3 linked regions of the Canis lupus familiaris genome follow. The protein of the gene in region 1 binds, or shares a complex with, the protein of each later gene. Links are inferred from orthologs where the notes say so. Each region holds a gene or a part of one and is shown in the gene's direction. Other genes may lie near its edges. The genes, in order: NMUR2, NMU and GNAI1.

Evidence for each region.
Region 2: the proteins of NMUR2 (region 1) and NMU are in contact, whole or in part, in a cryo-EM structure (PDB 7XK8), measured with the Homo sapiens proteins. The link is inferred for Canis lupus familiaris from reciprocal best matches to the Homo sapiens genes NMUR2 and NMU. Residues at the interface, in NP_064552.3 of Homo sapiens: Ser42, His43, Gly98, Glu102, Glu105, Met106, Trp107, Arg108, Asn109, Tyr110, Pro111, Thr123, Phe126, Glu127, Asn181, His185, Pro199, Ser201, Thr203, Cys204, Val206, Tyr213, Phe284, Arg288, Phe291, Glu295, Trp297, Ser298, Glu299, Ala302; in NP_006672.1 of Homo sapiens: Glu146, Phe152, Ala153, Ser154, Gln155, Gly158, Tyr159, Phe160, Leu161, Phe162, Arg163, Pro164, Arg165, Asn166.
Region 3: the proteins of NMUR2 (region 1) and GNAI1 are in contact, whole or in part, in a cryo-EM structure (PDB 7XK8), measured with the Homo sapiens proteins. The link is inferred for Canis lupus familiaris from reciprocal best matches to the Homo sapiens genes NMUR2 and GNAI1. Residues at the interface, in NP_064552.3 of Homo sapiens: Thr78, Thr80, Glu143, Arg144, Ala147, Ile148, Pro151, Phe152, Ala154, Leu156, Met239, Leu243, Gln259, Cys262, Arg263, Val266, Leu330, Ser331, Arg333; in NP_002060.4 of Homo sapiens: Glu28, Ala31, Arg32, Leu194, Ile343, Ile344, Lys345, Asn347, Leu348, Lys349, Asp350, Cys351, Gly352, Leu353, Phe354.

The regions. Positions count from the first base shown.
Region 1 is NC_049225.1:57,871,173-57,877,063, forward strand, and holds the end of NMUR2 (neuromedin-U receptor 2), read left to right. Parts: intron 1-1,475; coding exon 1,476-1,750; 3' UTR 1,751-3,438; downstream 3,439-5,891. UniProt on the Homo sapiens protein: Receptor for the neuromedin-U and neuromedin-S neuropeptides.
Region 2 is NC_049234.1:48,651,383-48,658,814, reverse strand, and holds the start of NMU (neuromedin-U), read left to right. Parts: upstream 1-2,495; 5' UTR 2,496-2,524; coding exon 2,525-2,615; intron 2,616-7,432.
Region 3 is NC_049239.1:20,212,878-20,219,755, forward strand, and holds part of GNAI1 (guanine nucleotide-binding protein G(i) subunit alpha-1), read left to right. Parts: intron 1-816; coding exon 817-974; intron 975-4,884; coding exon 4,885-5,013; intron 5,014-6,878. UniProt on the Homo sapiens protein: Guanine nucleotide-binding proteins (G proteins) function as transducers downstream of G protein-coupled receptors (GPCRs) in numerous signaling cascades.

The DNA.
Region 1 (5,891 bases):
AAAACCCCAAAATTGCCTTTTCATCCTCAAGTTATATTTTTCCATTCATAAACCATACACTTGTCAAATGGGTTAATTAGAGTGCTGCACTTTTTGCATTAATCCTGCATGATAATAACCATTCCTACTTTTGCGCATTTGCTCAGGCTATACCTTCTACCTGTAGTATTCTCTCCTTTCCTCTCCAACTATCTCCTGCCCGCTTCAGGATCTGGCTAGTGTTCAATCACCTAATTAAATCCTTCATGATTATTATAGTCCTTGTGTTTATGCTATTATGTGAATTTCCATAGGGTGACAGTTAGTATCATATGTTTCGCTCTTAATAGATACAGTTTGGTATTGTTCTTTTGTTAACTACTAAATTTAGGCATAGATTTTTCCTCTATAATACTATTCCATGTTCTTGAGAACGAAGTCTAAATCTACTATCTACCAATGTGCCTCAAAGCTTCTGGCACAAAATAAGAATTTATTGAATGAATTAACAGTCTATAGCAATATTCTTCTCTTGTATTCCTCCCTGCCCAATTCTGTGCATAGGGCATATGGCACTCTGTATGTCCTGAACTATGTAAATGAGGACAACAATGAATGTTGTTAACAGTACCTATCACTTGTTTTATATTCTTAGCCATTCTCAGTCCCTCTGTGATAGCATCTCAACTTTATCCTCACAGTAATTCAGAGAGGTAGGTTGGGATGGTATGTTGCAGAGAAAAGAATTGAAGTGCCAGTTCCCTCTGTCACAGAACAAGCAAGGGACAAGATCAGAAACTAAGTCTTCTGATTCTCAACCTTAGGCCCATCTTGGGCCTTGGGGAAATAAAACAGGATATAGTAATAAAAGAAGTGTGTATAAAACAAGGAAATGGCAGTGTGCAAGGCATTTGGTGGAGAAAACGAATGGCAAAATACAATTATTTAATGAAGTTGGAAGGTGGGAAGAGCCATCAAGGGGAAAGGCCAGGTAGGAAAAGGGCCCTGGGGAATATTTTATTGAAGAGATAGTTAGCATTATAAGAAATCTCAGCAGAGACTATGCCTTAACTGATTTGCTATTCCTCCATCACTTGCAGTTTCAAATTATAGATTTAAGCAAAGCTCCAATGAGATAAAAACAATCTCTCTTTCCTCTGATACTTAAGCATCTCTCATTAATGCTATGAGAGCATGTTCTTTAATTAAACAAGTGGGGATCAAAGGAAATTGCCAAGCATCTCAGAGAGATCCCATGCCAGCCTAAATTTTTCTGAGACTCTTTAATCTTTCTGTGTTTGATTCCTAAATACACAGGTGGTAGATCTGTTCAGAGCATTTTGTATTCTCAATTAGAGTCTTGTATATATTATTACTTCCAAAAGAGGCAGTCTCAGGGATTCGAGGCCCTTGTTAAATATTTATACTTCTCTCTATCATACCTCTCACTCAGTTTCTCCTCAGTGTGTCTCTTTTTTTAATCTCCTGTGTTCCAGGTGTCTTCTTCTACCTGAGCTCAGCCGTCAACCCCATTATCTATAACCTACTCTCTCGCCGCTTCCGGGCAGCATTCAGGAATGTGATCTCTCCTTCTTGCAAACAGGGGCACTCCCAGCACCACCCACAGGGGCCACCTGCCCAGCGGAACATCTTCCTGACAGAATGTCACCTTGTGGAGCTGACTGAAGATGCAGGTCCCCAGTTCCCTTGTCAGTTGTCCATCAGCAGCTCTCCCCTCCCCACAACACTCTGTAGTGGAGAGGCACCATAAAAGGAATGCTCAAAGAGTTAACATTCCTCTATGCCACCATCCCATAGGGAGGGACACCCTTAATTTATGCCTCCTTATAGGATAGAAGGGAGGTGAAATGAGTCTTAGAATTTATATACCCATTTCTATTTTGTGTGGGTTTTTTTTAAAACAAATCGCTACTAAATCTGGATCTGAAACCCAGAACTGGGTTAACTGCCTCATGCCCCTTTACTTGTTCATGGAAAGAAAAAATAATCATGACCTATAAAATATGACACCTGTACTTTGAGTAATTTTCACTTTTGGAAATCATTTATCCTGAGTCATTCACACTCTGAGTTAGGCTGTAACTCTCACAACCAGTGGCCCCTGTGTGACATAAAAAGAAGCCATGTAGATGCTTATACTACTTTACATAATTTGAGGTATCCATGTCAATGTTCTTCCACAGAAAACTATTTACCCTATTGCCTCATATTTTGTCATTATAATGTGATTCATTAAAGTTTTGAAGCCTTACTTGAAGAGTCCTCCTGATAATATGGGGATGCTTTATAGAACTATTATTCCCACCTTTCTGATCCCCAAGTCATTCTCAGTCATCCCTTACCAAAAATGGGATCAGATACAAGTTCTACTTAGACAAGAATGGGAAGAGGGAGAAGGTTATGTGTGGAAGGTCAATAGAGACAAACTATTCCAAGCATGTGAACTTAATTGCTCTCATAGTTTGGTCTAGACATGCATTCCTAAAGTCTTAATAAACAGAGGTATCTGGAGGAAAAAACTATGTTGGGAAAAAACCTAAGCTAAATAGCAACTACTGGTCTCAAACCCATGACTTTCACTTACTTAATCCTTCATTATCTATATACCAGTCTTCACACGTATAAGAAAAATCAACTTTCCAGACTCATCTTCTACTACAGCATCACATGGAATATATATTCTATTCAAAATGGGTTACTTGCTCTTCTAATGAAAATGTGCCCCAGTTATCTCAGCTGTACATATTTGATTAGAAAATGCCCTCTTCATCTCCAGGCCCCATCTGTTGCTCTCCTACCCATGCTTCAATCGATCTCAGTGTGGTACCTCCATAAAACCCTGCTTGACTTATTCAAATAGATGTGGTATCTGACCTGTCAGTCTCTCTCTTAAGCTTTTTCTCACTCCGCTTTGTATTTCAGAGATTTATATACTTGTTTTGTCAGAATGTAAATTTGTCAAAGGCATGAAGTATCTTGTATTCATTTTTCCTGTTGCTGGAATCCTGGCAATATATCTGTCACAATGGTAGATGTTCAATAAATATGTGGTAAGTGAGTTGACTTCACATTCCAATGTGCTGAGCCAAAGAACAGCTCCAAATGGAACTGCAGTAAAAGCCAAAAGACTAAGGTTGTGTTTCTGATAGGGATATTTGACTTTCAGTTGGCTGTTTAGCCAGTTGTGATTATAATAGCATGTCTGCAGTGCCTGTGGTACAAGAAGGCTCTTCCCAATCCCAGATACTTACTGATGCTAAAACTACAAGTTCCAGTTTTTAGTCTCTGAATTTTCCCTAAATTGAATGAGCCATCCTATTGATAAATGGGGATATTGGTCCCTGACATCATTATTTCCTAACCGAACAATCATATTCAAGGTGATTCAATGTATGTATTTTTAAATCTCTTTGCTAATTATAAGCCAACTTGAATGAATTAGAGTCCTCCAGTGATGGTTTATGTTGGTGAGCAGAATCCTTGAGTCATTTGAAGATCATGTTGAAAGGACTCAACAAAATAAAACCTCAGAAATGGAGGAGAAATTAATTTCCTTCTCACCTTTTAGAAGCATGCTCAAATTAAGATCTAATAAGGTCACCTGCCTTAACATCAACTCCCAGTGACCACAACTAAATATGCTGCTATTGTAGGTGAATGCATAGAAAAAGAACACTAAAATTGAAGCTAGTAATTTTGCTGTTTGATTATAATTTTGATCTGTTTTCTCTTTATTTACCTTTTTTCTCTCAAAAATGTATATAAGAATTATTTGCTCATTAATTATTTCTTTGATAAATCACTTAGTACCCATAGGTTATGTGCATTATGCCAGGTTATGAATTTTCTGGCCTTGAGAGTTTACATTTTGTAGAAGAAATTATTTCTGTATGTATGTGTGTGTGTGTATGTGTGTGAAGTGTGCTACAAAATACAAATACAAGTGCTATACTACTATATAAAAAAAGGTGTTGTTCAAGTCAAGGGCAATAGATTTAATTAAGCCTAGCATTTAAGAAGGGGAAAAGGAGTTAAGTGTTGATATTTTGTCTATATACATATTCATATACACATGCATATATACACATATAGGAAACATATTTCAAAATGAAAATTGAAATGTCACAAGTCTAAGAGCTGATGTAATGGTTCACATACAATTAGTAGAACAAAGAGAAAAATAAAAACTAAATTGCTCAATGCTGCTCAATAGCTGACTTCATCATCTCCTTGTGAATTCCTTGTGATCTCTGCATTTTGGAATAATGACAGAAGAGGCCAGTAAACATGATTAATAACATATTGGTAATTTAACTCTTGCAATTAAACAGTGACTTTTGAGGTCTCTGGTATTTCATGAATTTAGTGAACTGAAGACATTCAGAATGTTGTTTGCCAAATTAATTGTCTAGTCCATAAAGACAGCCAAGATTCTTTTTTTTTTTAAGATTTTGTTTATTTATTCATAGAGACACAGAGAGAGAGAGAGAGAGAGAGAGAGGCAGAGACACAGGCAGAGACACAGGCAGAGACACAGGCAGAAGTGAGAAGCAGGCCCCCCACAGGAACCTGACGTGGGACTCCATCCCAGGTCTCCAGGATCACACCCCAGGTTGCAGGCGGCGCTAAACGGCCGCGCCACTGGGGCTGCCCGACAGCCAAGATCCTTAATCTGAGACTCATGAACATGTGTCAGGAAGTCCAAGAATCTCCTGAAATTGTGTTCGTAACTCTTAGTGTGTACTTTTTTGTCAAGAAAGCTTATAGTTTTGATTAGCTTCTCAAAGTAGTCTATGACTTAAATTATTATAATTACTATTGTAAAGTATCCTTAACAGTCTAACATAAAGATGCTGTCTTAATGGATGAGTTATAGTTGGATGAAGGCATTGCAGGAGAATTTAAAAGTATCATTATTCCAACATAAGAGTCTGGTGTTTTTTTGTTAAAGATTTTATTTATTTACTCATGAGAGACACAGGGAGAAACAGAGACAAAGGCAGAGGGAGAAGCAGGCTCCATGCAGGGAGTCCGATATGGGACTTGATACCAGGACTCCAGGATCATGCCCTGGGCTGAAGGCAGATGCTCAACCGCTGAGCCACCCAGGGATCCCAAGAATCTAGCATTTATAAGTATTAGTGGCTCAGTGTTGTGCTGATGCTGGCTCAGACTGGCCTCCAAAAGTTTATTTTTACATATTTAGGAATTTTGAGAGCCTGGTGTTATATGATTGGTAACCTGAAATCGGCCACAGTGGGAATATTTATACCACCAGAAGTTGGCAAATATTTTACATCAGGGTTCTTACCACCCCCCTCCAGAGCCATCTTATCAGCACACCACTAACCATCAATACACTGGCAATCTGCCATCTTTCTATAATATACATGATTGATTTGTAGAATAGATGCCCAATAACACCATTATAATTACAGAGCACTTAAAGTTGTGGTTAACTCGTTGGAAAAAATAGTAGTCAATGAACCAGATTTTGTTTTTTGTTTTTTGTTTTACAGAAAATAAAAAAAGAATTTTATTTTTTAAATTATTTTTTACATATTTTTTAATTGGAGTTCAATTTGCCAACATATAGCATAACACCCAGTGTTCATCCCATCAAGTGCCCCCCTCAGTGCCCATCACCCAGTCATCCCCACCCCCTGCCCACCTCCCTTTCCACCACCTCTTTGAACCAGATTTTGACCCTGAGGTATGAGATAATGCTAATTATGACATGAAAGCCTCATCAGCATTTTATAATTAACCTAGAATGGAATAATTATTCTTGGATGCTCTCCATTAATATCAATGTAGAAAATAGTAACAGCTCTACATGTTATCTTCCCTATACATCTGTTTTTAAATATCCCACAGGATTCATTGTAAAA
Region 2 (7,432 bases), on another chromosome or scaffold:
AAATAAATAATCACTTAGAAATATAAATAAATAAATAAATAAATAAATAAATAAATAAATAAGAACTTCTAGGTACAGATTGCAATGTTTGTAAGAGAATTGTTAAGCCTCCCCTGCAGAAATCTGGGATCTAATTTCCTTGAAATATTTGGACAAAAGGGGACCTCTGGAATCAGCTTCATTCAGTCAGTTGTGGAATCCATAGTCTGCTTATGGGTAACTAAAGTGCCTATCTTCCCTCATTCTCCCATCCATCTTCTCTTATCATCCAAGTCACACAACAGCATGACCATTAGTCGGCACATCTTTTCTTAAGCAATTTTTTCAAAAATAACTCATATACAGAGAGTAGAACACAAGCCATAAGTGAGGAGAAAATATTTGCCAAACATTTAACTAATAAAAGTTCTGGAATACATAAAGCATTCCTATAATGGGTTAAAAAAAATAAAAAGCCTAACAACCCAATGGGGGCAAGAAACAAATGGGCATTTCACTGTTGCGAAAACAGCAATGGCGAATATATTTGTGAAAAGATACTCACCCTTATTATTAATGCTGGAAATTGTAAATTAAATCCATAATGAGATGCCACACCCACCAGACTGGCAAAGCTTTCTGCAAGGATGTGCAGCAATGGAAATTTCATGCATTGTTGGTGGTGTGGAGATTGGTATAACACATCGGAAAACAATTTAAAGTAGAGTTTAATGAGATTTTTCTCCCATGATAACTCTACTTCCAAGTACAGACCTCTGAAAACTCCTGCACATGTGCACCAAGGGACATGTACAAGGACATTCAGAGCCACCAGGTTCATGCAGAAAAAAATACTTGCAATGCATGAGTTGTTTCTTTTGCTGACCTGCTGGGGTATAAAAAGCCTTGAGGCCACTATTTGCAGGCTTCTCTGTTCTCACTGACATCTCACCCCACACAAGCTGCTGAAGCTAGACATCCTTCAGTGCACCTCCAGGAAATACAGGAAGGCAATTGGGAATCAGGGCCACCTCCACCCATCAAAATCCTCTGCACTACCTTTTTACTACTTTGGGAATAAATCAAAGCTTAAGCAATACTGATCAAATCTATTCTCATCCATCCTTGATTCCTGGTTTGGACCATGACTGTCATCCGGCCTTGCTCATATGCTGCATGAAAACTTAAAAACAGGAGTGACTATTTTTTTCTTATTACCTGTCAGGATGAGCACTTGCCTTGTAAGACAGCTATTTCAGTATGGATTTGGGGCCCTTCACCAAGTTCTAATTTCCTTTAGGGAAATTCCTCCTGTTACTAAAGATTCTAGTCTTTAAGGCCCCACTTTGCCTATAGTGCTTTGCACAGTGCATTTCTAGTGCATTAAAATCCCCAGCTTAGAGAAGAAAGGTCTTCGCAGAGGGGTCTCTCCCACAGGCTGATATCCTTGGGCAGACAATTTAATCTCCAAGTATCATCAGTATCATCAAATAAGCGTCATAATAGTTTTACCTTCCAGAGATGACATGAGTGTTAAATTAAATAGCAGGGGAAGATGTCCCTTAGGAAATGTTAATGTACTTCCTTTCTACCCTTTCCTCTGTGTTGCTTTCGTAAGGAGGTCAAATGAGCTCAGTCTTCCCTCTTTCAGTAGAAGGAAATTAAAACAGTATCAGCCAGTGTCCTAGAGAGGCTGCTTCCTGGACATTTCCACTTAGGAAGTAAAGGAAAGTATGGAGGGGGATGGCAGAGTTCCCATCACCCTAGAAATCAGAAAGCAACAGCTAGGGGGAGGGACCGCGGGAGAAACGCATGGAAAAACGAGCAACCTTGGGAACACATAGGATAGCCAGAGACCTTCCAGACCTATTGGAAATGTATGTGTGGTCAAATCCCAGCAATCCTTTCTCCTCGAGCTTCTTCAACAGATAACTGCATTTCCCTAAATGATCTCAGATCTTGCAGGAATTGGGGGAACACCAGGGTCACCACTGGTACTCCGGTACGCACCGGGCTTGAGCTGGGAGCTGGGGACGAAGGAAAGAGCGGGACAGAGGTGCTTCTGCGGAGGTGGAGGTGCGCACAGTGGGTGCGGCAGAGGAGGCCTTCCCGAGAGGTGCGCCAGGGGCGTCCCAGGACCCCCCCCCACCCCGCGTAAGAACCCCGATCCCGGCCCCTTCGGGCCTCCGGGCTCGCGCTCCTTCTCCAGCCCCCGCCCAGACCCTCTCCGAGCAGGGAACGGACGTGCACTGGGTCGTTTCCAGGCTCATCCCCGAGCCCCGGGGCGGCCGGAGCGAGAGGCGCCCTGAGTCACGACAGTGGCCGGGGGCGGGTCCCGCCGCGGGTGGGGGCCGGGGGCGGGCGGCGGGTCGCGAGTGACGCGACGGAGCCCGGGGGCGTGGGCGGCGAGCTGACGCGCGTGGGGACCGCGCCGCCCCAGCCCACGTGTCCGCCAGATTTAAAACTTGGCGGCGGAGCCCCGCGAGCCGCGCGTCCGGGACCCGGAGGCACTGCCAGGGCCCCGCGTGCCGCGCTGAGCCCCGAGATGCCCGCAGCGGCCGAGATGCCCGCGCCGCCCCCGCCGCCGCCGCTGCTGCTGCTGCTGCTGCTCGCCTGCTGTGCGGGCACCTGCCCAGGTGAGCGCCCGCGCCCGCCGTCCTGGCGCCTTCCCCGGGCCACCTGCCTCGCTCTCTTCCTCCCTTTCTGCTGTCGGCTTGGGGGGGGGGGGGGGGCTCCCCGGCTTCCCGCCTCTGACGACCCTCGCGCGGCGCCGCGCACCGGCCCCCAGCCCCGCAGGTCCCGCGCACCTGGCTGGGCTCCCTCACGCGCGGGACGTCCGTGGCCCGCGGACCCGGGAAAACTTGAACGAACGAACATGCCGAAAATTAAAGTGCGTTCCCTTTCGTGGCAATGACTAGCCGGATTGATGGCTAAAGCCGAACTGGACTTTGACACCTGCCGATCACCTGGCGCTGCTGCCGGTGAACTCGGGAGAGCGCCGCTCTCCTTTAGGGAGTGAGCTCCTGTTGCGTTCAGATCACCCCGAGCGACGAAACAGGCCCCCTTCTGGCCCTTTAGAAGGGGACGGGGGTGCGCTCGGTGCCTTTCTAGGTTCTGACGCACCAGGTCAGGAAAAAGAACGGAGACTTTCTTTGTATCACAGAGTTGGAGAGGCAAGTGCGCCAGCCGGGCTTTCAATCAGTGCCGCAGCGAAAGCCAGTGAAGGCAGATGCCATCTGATAAAATAGGGATTTCCAGTGCTTGGCTCAGAGAAAAGAACTGGAAAAAGCAAAATCGAGGTCAGGGAGGGATGTCTGCAGCTTGGGAGACGAGGTAGAAGGAAGCCCAGTATGTTCCAGCGGGGAGATCACTCCCCTATTCCCCAAAGATTACCTGGAGGGATCCATCCTTTGCCCCCCACCTCTGATCCAGAGTCCCCTCCAGGGCCAGCCACTATCCTGCCAAGACTGAATCTTCTAACTCCACAGCAGGTTCCCTTAGCTTCCCTCTGCCCTCCTGGCGGTGAGGCAGAGGTGCGCAGACCATGTCATCACTGTTGAGAGCACTGGGGACTTGAAACCGTAACTGCAGGGGCCTTTCAGAGCTTGCAGGCCAGCCTTCAATTAGAGGTGGAGAAACTGAAGCTATTCTTTTCCAATATATTTATTTTTATTGCTGTCCTTTTATCATTTTTGGTTTTTTGGCCCCTTTCCTGGGGGTATTGGAGAAGGAGGTGGGGAGGAGCTCTCCTGCTTGCAAAATGAGGTCATTTGGCTATGGAATGTTAGCAGTCCGAAGCTAGACCTAAACCTTCTCCATCACATAGCCAGCAATGCTACAGCATAACCTATGCAAGGTAGTGTTAATATTTTAATGTTTTTAATTTGTTTTTGGTAGAATTAGGGTGGCAGTCTTTATCTACCTTGTTAAAGAAGCAGATGATTATAGTTTTAAAAGTGTCCTTTTCTCTGTAAAGCAAATGTACCTGCTATACATGTTACATGCTATATGATTACAGTGATATTTGGATCGGTGGGAGATAACTGCTTTTTTGAGAAATGGGGGAATTTTCAGGCTGCTGGTGATTAAGCAGAAACTGTAGAAGGCCTTTTTTTTTTTTTTGGCAAAAGACAAGTCTTTTTTTTTTTTTTTTATTGGTGTTCAATTTACTAACATACAGAATAACACCCAGTGCCCGTCACCCATTCACTCCCACCCCCCGCCCTCCTCCCCTTCTACCACCCCTAGTTCGTTTCCCAGAGTTAGCAGTCTTTACGTTCTGTCTCCCTTTCTGATATTTCCCACACATTTCTTCCCCCTTCCCTTATTTTCCCTTTCACTATTATTTATATTCCCCAAATGAATGAGAACATATAATGTTTGTCCTTCTCCGACTGACTTACTTCACTCAGCATAATACCCTCCAGTTCCATCCACGTTGAAGCAAATGGTGGGTATTTGTCATTTCTAATAGCTGAGTAATATTCCATTGTATACATAAACCACATCTTCTTTATCCATTCATCGCAAAAGACAAGTCTTGGGTTTTATGTTGAGAAAGAATGTTTCTGCTGGCTGACCAATCATCTCATAAACATCCCCAGTATTTCTCAAGCAAACAGACAAGATGCCTTTTCCACTGCACAGAAACCCCCTAGACTATCATTTTGTATCTTTTTCCCCTTTAGACCTGCTCTTGATATTGAAAAAAATAATTTTATCTCTCTAAAGATGTGAGGGAGAGGGGAATGAGTGAACATAGTATGATCTTCCCTAGTCCTGAGTCCCTAAAAATGGCATTGGAAGGGAAGCATGACATACATAATCAAAACTGGGAGATAATCTATGAAGATTAATCATTATGCAGGATGTAACTGGATGTATCTAAAAACAACAAAACAAATATCACAAAGCCGTAGGAAAATAAAATAGTGTCAAAAAGTGGAGCATCCTTGGCAAAATGAGTTAGCAGAGCATGCAACAGCAAGATAAAGAGCCAGTCACAAGTCTGGTGGATGGAAACAGTTTACGATTCAAAGAGCATCATTAAAATAAAGAAAGAAATTTTCTAAAAGAGGGAACATTTTGGATAACTGCAACAAACCTTGATTTGGCTTGTGACAGTAAGTGATCAAAGTGCCCAAGACTAAATTAAGAAGGGTTTTTTCCTACTCAGACCCTTGCTCTTTGAATATGTCTTAAAATTCAGACTCCTGCTCATTGACTATGTCTTAAAATTCAGTCAGTAGTAACAATTTCTCACTTTGGAACCCTACACTAGCTAAGTGCTAGCAACAAGGAAAGAAAATTAGCACCACTTTTAGAATAATTAAGTCTGGGGATGCCTGGGTGGCTCTGCAGTTGAGCGGTTGAGTGTCTGCCTTTGGCTGAGGGTGTGATCCTGGAATCCCAGATTGGGTCCTCCCCCCCCCCCCACCAGCATTGGGCTCCCTGCATGGAGCCTGCTTCTCCCTCTGCCTGTGTCTGCCTCTGTGTGTGTGTCTCTCATGAATAAATAAATAAAATCTTTAAGAAAAGTAATTATCTCTGTTTTTCAGAGAGAGACAGGTACTATATGATCTGACTTGTACATGCAATCTAAAAAACCCCAGCAAAACAAAATCAAACCAAGCATGTGGATACAGAGAACAGAATAGGGGTTCACAGAGGTAGGAGGTGGAAGTTTGAAATGCGTAAAGGGAGTCAAAAGGTACAAACTTCCATTTATAAAATAAATAAGCCATGAGGATGTAATGTAAAGCATGGTGACTACATGGTGTATTTGAAAGCTGCTAAGAGTGAATCTTAAAAGTTCTCATCACAAGAAAAAAAACCTCTGTAACTACGTTGGTGATAGATGTTAATGAGACTTATTGTGGTGATCATTTCACAATATATACAAATTTAGGAAATTTAGGATTGTTATGTTGTGCAGCTGCAACTAGCATAATGTATGTTGGTTATACCCCAATCTAAAGGTCAGTTCTTCTTTCTCTAACAGATGGTGTATTTGCAGATGCAAAAGTTGTCTATCCGTATTATTTGCATTAGTTAGACTGTACACTATAAGACTAAAGGTTTCACTTTACTAGACAGTATATAAGTATCTTAAAGCTGATCAAAAACAGTGCAGTTTTTGTAATCTACGAGATAACGACACTTTGACTATACTTAAGAAAATATCTAGGGATCCCTGGGTGGCGCAGCGGTTTGGCGCCTGCCTTTGGCCCAGGGCGCAATCCTGGAGACCCAGGATCGAATCCCACATCGGGCTCCCGGTGCATGGAGCCTGCTTTTCCCTCTGCCTGTGTCTCTGCCTCTCTCTCTCTCTCTCTCTCTCTCTCTCTGTGAGACTATCATAAATTAAAAAAAAAAAGTATCTAGTACTACTATTTGACTATATAAAGCCCATACCTAGGGTATCTTGGGGGAAAAAATCACATCAACTTTGGTTAACAAGTACACAAAGGGAAGAAAAATATTTCCTTTTTACATTTGGGTCTGGTACTCGGAGTTTCTATAAATTAAAAACATTTTGAAATTTTGGCTCCTCTAACCTTTTTACCCTGAGACTGTTTACATGTGTTGTGTAAGAACCACAAAGTACCCCTTTTTGATTATATAAGTGCTTGGGAGTAAGATATCATGGCAATTTCTGTGTGGCCCATGCAAGCTTGGGATGTGGAAGGAGGCAAGCTCACCGGGAGGCAGCATGGAGCTGGGAGCTTCCACTTTTACCGAAGGGTGGGAGACAGGCAGGTGAAGAAAGAATATAAAATTGTGAGGTGTCTGGGTGGCTCAGTTGGTTAAGCATCTGCTTTTGGCTCAGGTCATGAACCTGTGTTGGGCTCCCTGCTCAGAGGGGAGCCTGCTTCTCCCTCCCCCTCTCCCCCTGCTCATGTTCTCTCTCTATCTCAAATAAATAAAATTTAAAACAAAAAAAAAAGAGTATAAAATTGTATTCTTTAAACAGGAGCACCTGTCAAAGAGAAATGAACAGTGGTATAGTGAGTGGAGAAATCAGAAGTACATGCTGGTAAAGACTGAATCGAAAGAGTGGAAATCTTTGTGTTTTCCCTTTGCATCCGTACCTGCCTCTGGTTCTGTTCTTTTCCATCAAATCGTGCCCTCCCCTTCCATTCCTCTCCATTCCACCTTCCTATTATTCAGTCTTAGTAACTGCAGATAAGCAGGGCGTCCAAGTTGTAAGGAATGGGCCAATGGCCTTTTAGGTGGTTTTCGAGAGAACATCCATACCCCATTTTGGAAGTGTTCAGACTTGTTAGAGAGAAGCTTGGACCTAAAATGTCTCTTTGAGCTGCTTAGTTGTGTTGAACAATGAGGCATCCTCCATTTCTTCCTACGATGCAATGTTCTATCCTCCTGGATGTTCAGTGGTATCCAAGAACCAGTAGCATCAGTATCATCAGGGAACTTGATAGAAAAGCAGACG
Region 3 (6,878 bases), on another chromosome or scaffold:
CATCCTTGTCACAACTCCTTTGGAAGTGCTCACCTACTGTGGTTGGTTACCTATGGATCAGAATAAGTATTTGTAGTCTCAAAACTTAAGGAAAATTTAATAACTTTATATGCATCATTCCTTCATTTAAAATATTTTGCATGCTGTCTTCAATATGCATCATGAGTATTTCTACTTCATAGCTGTGTTTGTATCCTCTGCCTGCATTAACAAACACCTGCTCCCACCTCCTGCCCCTTGGCTTTAATGTATACACATCTTAAGGTCTCCTGAAAATTTCAGATCATTCTGTAAAGCTATTATCGTTTATTCCACATTGATTTCTCCCTCTCTGAATTTCTTTTGCTTCCATAGAGAATATCAGAAAGCCAACATTTAATGAGATTCTCCCTTAAAATAATCTCTAGCAATGTTAGTGTGTTTCTTAGAAACATTTTGGGTGGGAGGGGTAAGGCATACATTAGTTCTCTGTTTGTAAAACTGATGAGTGCACAATAAACCGTCAGTGATAGCAAATAGCTGGTTAATGTGTCCCCTCATGACCTGTAGGTGTAAGTCATTCTTCTAGTTTCCTGGAGCCTTGACCGCTTATTACTAATATTACAAAACATAGACCTGCGATTTAAGGTTATGCTCTTTTGGTTAAGCCATTTTTTTAAGTGGTGCTTCAGAGAACTAAAAGCCATGACCCCAATGAAAAACAAAGGAAATGCATGATTGCACTTTTCGTAATCTAGAATGCCTCCCTCTGTACTTTTAATCTGTAATGTCTCCCTTTTTTACTTATTAAAAAAAAAATGGTCTTTGAATGTTCAGGATGATGCCCGCCAACTCTTTGTGCTTGCTGGAGCTGCTGAAGAAGGTTTTATGACTGCAGAACTTGCTGGAGTTATAAAGAGATTGTGGAAAGATAGTGGCGTGCAAGCCTGTTTCAACAGATCCCGAGAGTACCAGCTTAATGACTCTGCAGCATAGTAAGTAATCATGACTTCAGAACTAAACTATCATGAATAATTTCTTGCAAGTCAAATATACCTCCAAGTCAGTGCTATTGCAGAACTGGCTGACACATTTCTTGTAAAACTCAGGATATTCAGGATGACAGTATTTGAAAACTTTTCTGGATTTTTTGGTGTGTTTGTAGATAGCATTGCTGTTATTTCCTTTGTGTTCGGAGGTGTCTCAAGAGACTCACCCTTATGTAACTCTAATTGAAACATTCAGAATAGACTGTTGGCAGCATATTTCCAAGAAAGTAAACTGGAACTTTGCAAAGTTCACCCTGAATTTGAGCGTATCTCAAGTTTGTGTGGGGCCAGCCCAAGGGGAGGGGAGCTGATTTGGTTCTTTTCACTAAACTTAAAAGTGCCTGAGAAGAATTATTTGTCCAGTGACAGGCACCCTGCATGAGATGTACCTCTTTTAGAGGGGTGTATGGTGATCCCAAGATGTTTCCTCATTGAGTAAAATATCTCTACGCTTGAAAATTGTCAATTGTATGTGCTCTGTTGCATTAGATATCATTTACAGATAGCTAAGTACAGTATTTTGTAAGAAAAACCTGCCCTGATTTTCTAAGTGGTGGCCACTGAGAGTTCATAAAGCAAAACCTGGTCAGGGAGCTTTCTGCTTGGTGATCTAGCTACAGTAAAAAAAATAAATAAAAATTAAAAAATCAAGTGTTTGTTTCCATAATCTAGCAGACACAGTCAAAAATGTCAGATATGAGTAGCATTAACTGGTCTTAATACATGTGCTCTGTGCTCCTTTTACTTTATTCCATTTTCTTGACAGCTACTGGTGTTCAGGGACACAAATGAGGGTGAGAGAGAAGATGATGGTTACTAGAGAGGACTAGGTAAATACACCCATTTCACCACAGTGAGAAATAGGTTACGGCTCTCCCCAATTATCACTCAGCAGGTCATTGGCTACACATAAGAATACTCAGTTTCTGTTCTGTGATTTAGTGTGAGGGAGTAAATACACCTTACTGTGTAACCCATACCAATTTTTATTAGTATTTCCTATTCTATATATTTTTTTTAAGATTTCATTTATTTATTCTTTGGAGAGACAGAGACAGAGGCAGAGGTTAGAAGCAGGCTCCCTGCAGGGAGCCCGATGTGGAACTTGATCCTAGGAACCCTGGGATCACGCCCTGAGCTGAAGGCTCAACCACTGAGCCACCCAGGCGACCCCTAATCTGTATTTCTAATGCTTTATGACTATGTAAGCTATATAATATATACATATTATTTTGTATGTATTTTCTATATGTATATGTAACATGTTACTGAATATGTAGCTCCCCTCTCCAACTGGTGTCATCTTTTCTTAGGATATATGCCTTGACTCACAGATAGGTCTTTGCCTCCCTGTCTTACATACTTAAAATACAAAATATTTCTTTCAGAGCACTCACAGATTTACATTTGAGGTAATTTTTATTTGTGTTGAAATGATTTTCTGTCTCTGCCACTACACTGTAAATTCAGTGCGGTCTGTTTTCACCCTGTGTGCTTTCTCCATGACACACAGTTGTCATTTGCTATGCTCTTGTTTAATAATGAGTGAATGAATAAACCATACTTTACAGAAGCTCGAAGAGAAATTAGAAGAAAATGATTTACAGGAAGAACACGATTCTTAGACCATATTATTTGCTTTGGCACCACCAGCTCCTGCAGAAAGAGCTAAATGGGAATCACTCATGTTGAGAAGATTGCTCTGAGTAGAGCCCAGCTAGGGGAGCTTTTGCAGTAATTAAGGGGTCCTTCTCAGAGATGATCGGTTGAAGTCACTTTCCCTGTATGATGGGACTTCCTGGACCACTGCAGTCTAATGACCAAGACTTGTCCCGTGTGCTCAAGTATCGGGGTATGCACTGGAAAAATAAGTCATTTTGGTTCCCCAGTATTTCATTACTAGTAGTTCTGACTTCACGATGGCAACAAGGGAGCCACTTTTCAAGAATGAAGGAAGTCCTAGAAATCTTTTTCTCCATAGTGGTCACAGAGCCTCTTGATTTCTGAGTTTTGGGCTAGAGATGGGAGATGTTGCCAAGTTGCCCACTGGGACTATCTAACTACCAATTTACTTGAAATTCATGATCATTTTAAATAATTGGAGTTTTTCCCAATGCCGGATTAATTTGTGTTATTGAAATATGAATGTGCATTATTTTTAGAGACTATTGAGTAGCATTTTTAAGCAAATAAATGTATGGGAGTAATCAAAGTGCATTTTAAATAAGATTAACACACTATTTCAGAGGGACAATTCGTAAAATATTGCCATGTGTTTATTAGATTTTTTTTTTTACAATACTGTATATCATTATATATGTGGAATTAAAAACACAGAGTACTAGGGGATTATCAGCAATGTGATAATAAGATTATTTTAAGTTCAATAAATACAATGCAGATAACTCCAGGTATGCTCTATGAATTCTGGTATCAATATCACATACATATACTTAACTGTCTAAAACACTGTTGATTACTAATTCAGTGTTTCGATAGCTTTTCAACTCCATCTCTACAAATCAAATATTTATTGAGCTCCTTTTGTTTGTAAGATCTGTTCTAAATGGCTAAGGAACAGTTTCAGAAGATAACGTCCATTAAAGTTGTAGTAGTTGGTGCCTCTGTAATAAACACAGATGTGAATCTTCTAAATTATCTTTGACCACTGCACTCTAGTATCAGAAAACACTGTTGGGAAGCTTCCCATTTAGAATCAATTCCAGACTTCTCATTTGAGTTTATGCACAACTTCCTGGGGGCCTTACTTTGTGAGAAGCAAGATCTGACAATTCCTGCCTCCTCATACTGTTTGACTACTCTCCTGATCTGGATTGCATTCTTTTTTTCTGTTCACATCCCTCATCATTCAGATTTCTGTTTACAACCCTCCCCACCCATGAAGGCTTCTTTCACCACTCAGGTTCACATTACTCTCTTCATACCTGGACTTTCTATAACATTATTTACTATATAAAATGACACAGAATAATTTACAAAAATAATCGCATGGTATGACACCACTGCATTTTAGTAGCATAACATATTTGACATTGTTGGCAAAGAGTATTGAACGGGTGGGTGGCTAAAACCAGTGAGAAGTAAAATATGAATATATTTTTTTAAATATTTATTTATTTATGATAGACATAGAGAGCAGAGACACAGCAGGAGGGAGAAGCAGGCTCCATGCAGGGAGCCTGACGTGGGACTCGATCCCGGGACTCCAGGATTGCGCCCTGGGCCAAATGCAGGCACTAAACCGCTGAGCCACCTAGGGATCCCCAAATATGAATATTTATTTAGAGAACCAGTAAAATGCAGAGTAAAAGAGCGTGCGTAGTGTTTTCCTATTTGTAACTTAAAGCTGGCTGAAAAAGAATAGTATTGAATTTAGCCTTTGGCTGGAGATCTACTCATTACTTTCTCAAAAACTTCAGTCTTTGTAACTCCTCAACAAGAGTAATGTCCAGAAAAGAAATACATGCTACTTAAAAAAAGTGTAATAAAGACTTTTAAGAAGCTGACTCCTAGTGTACAATTGGTTGTGTGTGGTTTTTAAGAAATTATTCTGTTTTGTTTCTAACAAGGAGAATTACTAATTCGTGTCCTTAGGAAACAAAGTACACAGTACTTAGAAAATGTTAAAAGGGCTTTGTGGCTGGAGAAGTATACATTTTCATTTCAGTGGGAATTGTATAACATATAAACTTAAATTGGTTGTATTTTTACATCATTACACAGAAATATAAAAATTTCCATTGATTTATGATATTGCATGCATCAAAATGTTTTACTTCTTGATGTAGATGATCTTTAAGGGCTATATTAACTATTATTTTATTTATTTCTTCAGCTATTTGAATGACTTGGACAGAATAGCACAACCAAATTATATCCCAACTCAGCAGGATGTTCTCAGAACCAGAGTGAAAACAACAGGAATTGTCGAAACCCATTTTACTTTCAAAGATCTCCATTTTAAGTAAGTAGCTTTAAAGCATATCATTTACAAATTTAGGTATAAAATACCTTGTTCAGTAAAGAAAGGTGATTAGACAGACAATATTTTGGATGAAGAAGGACAGGAAACATTCTTAGGAATATTTAATTTTTATTTAAGAAAAAATGAACATGCAAATCTCTTGTTTATATTTTCAAAGTGATTTAAATAAAAATAATTTTTAGCTTTTATTTCTAAATAGAAAATATTGCTCTGATATTGCATATTTGGAGAAAGTGTTAACATGTATTCTTAGAATTTTACTGATTGTACATATGCTTATTTATGGAAATGGTAAAAATGAAGGGTACCTTTTAAAAGTTTTTATTCATTCAAATGTTTGCACTTTTTCATGATGAAAAATGTCATTTAGAGTATGCTAAATACTAACTTAATGAAGTTTGAGCAGAGAAGTACTGAATTGTAGCCTGTAGAAATGCAAGGGATCTCAGAACTTGTTTTGTCCAATACACTCATTTCATAATGAATGAGACTCAGGGAAGTTTAGTGAAACATTAATTTTCAGACCTATGTTCCTCTTTTTTAAAGTATGAAAAAAGTTATTGGACTGTGCTTCAGATAGCCCTAATGCTCTGAAACAGTTTTAATGAAGCAGAATTTCTGAAAGCACCTAAAGTTTCCTAGTCAAAGATGAAAATATTCTTGAAGGTCACTGTTACAAGTCGTGGGAAGTACAGTTACATATATGCAACTATACTGATGCAAATGTACTTCTGATTCCTTCTATAAGTATCTTATTTTTTAGGAGAGAGAGAGACAGAGCAAGAGCATGCGTGCACCTGAGGACATGGGAAAGGAGGAGGGGGAGAGAGTCTTAAGTAGGCTCAATGCCCAGGATGGAGCCTGGCATCGGTCTTGATCTCCCAACCCTGAGATCACGACCCAAGCTGAAATCAAGTCAGAGGCTGACCTGACTGAGCCCCCCAGATGCCCCTCTTCTATAAGTATTTTAAATATGTTTATTATCATTAGTCACTAATTTATCCCACTAATTTATCAGTGGTTCCTGTAATTGATTTTCCAGAAAACCAAAATTGAATTTTAATTTTCCATAGCAGCTTCCCTCCACCCTCCCCCAAAAAAAACATTGCCTGCTTTTTTTAAAAAACAGAATTACAATTCATAGTTTATCTGACCATGTAACTTTGTACTTAAATACATGATCAACTTTTTCATCTCCTTTTAATTCCTTTCTGTTTTCGCCAGTTTGTAAGCTGGCAGTGGACATTCTTTGGCTGGCAGTAGCTCTTACCAAAATCATTTACTTTCTTTTAATCTGTTCAGTACTTCTAGGATATTAAATGACCAAAGTGGGGAATAGTAAAACATTAATATTTAAATAGTCTGATAGGTCTGATCTGGGAACTATTATTATTACATTTATCTTAAAGTTATAATTTTAAGGAAACTTCACTGTCAGAATGAGGCTTCAAAGTTTTGGGGGTTTTTTTGTTTGTTTTTACTTAGATTCTGATTTTTTTTTTTTTTGCTTTTTGTTTACTCTTTTTTTAAACACCCTATTTTAAAAGCAAGCTTATATTGTTATGTTCAGCTAATGGCTTTAACAAATACAGTCTGAGGAGAAAATGCACGGAGCTGGGGAGAACGAGGGCAGAAGGAGACTTAGAATGATTCTGCAGGAGTTCCTGTGTTTCTCGTTTTCGTGTTTTGTATTGTAATTCGTTCTTTCATTTTAACAGCTGATGTAAAATTTCGGTTTCGCTTAGTATTTTGTATGATCAGAATTAAATTCAAGAGGAGGCAATAAGGCATTGTAATTTAAGAATACATATTCTCACCTCTCTGACTAGGCGTTTGTGGAAAGT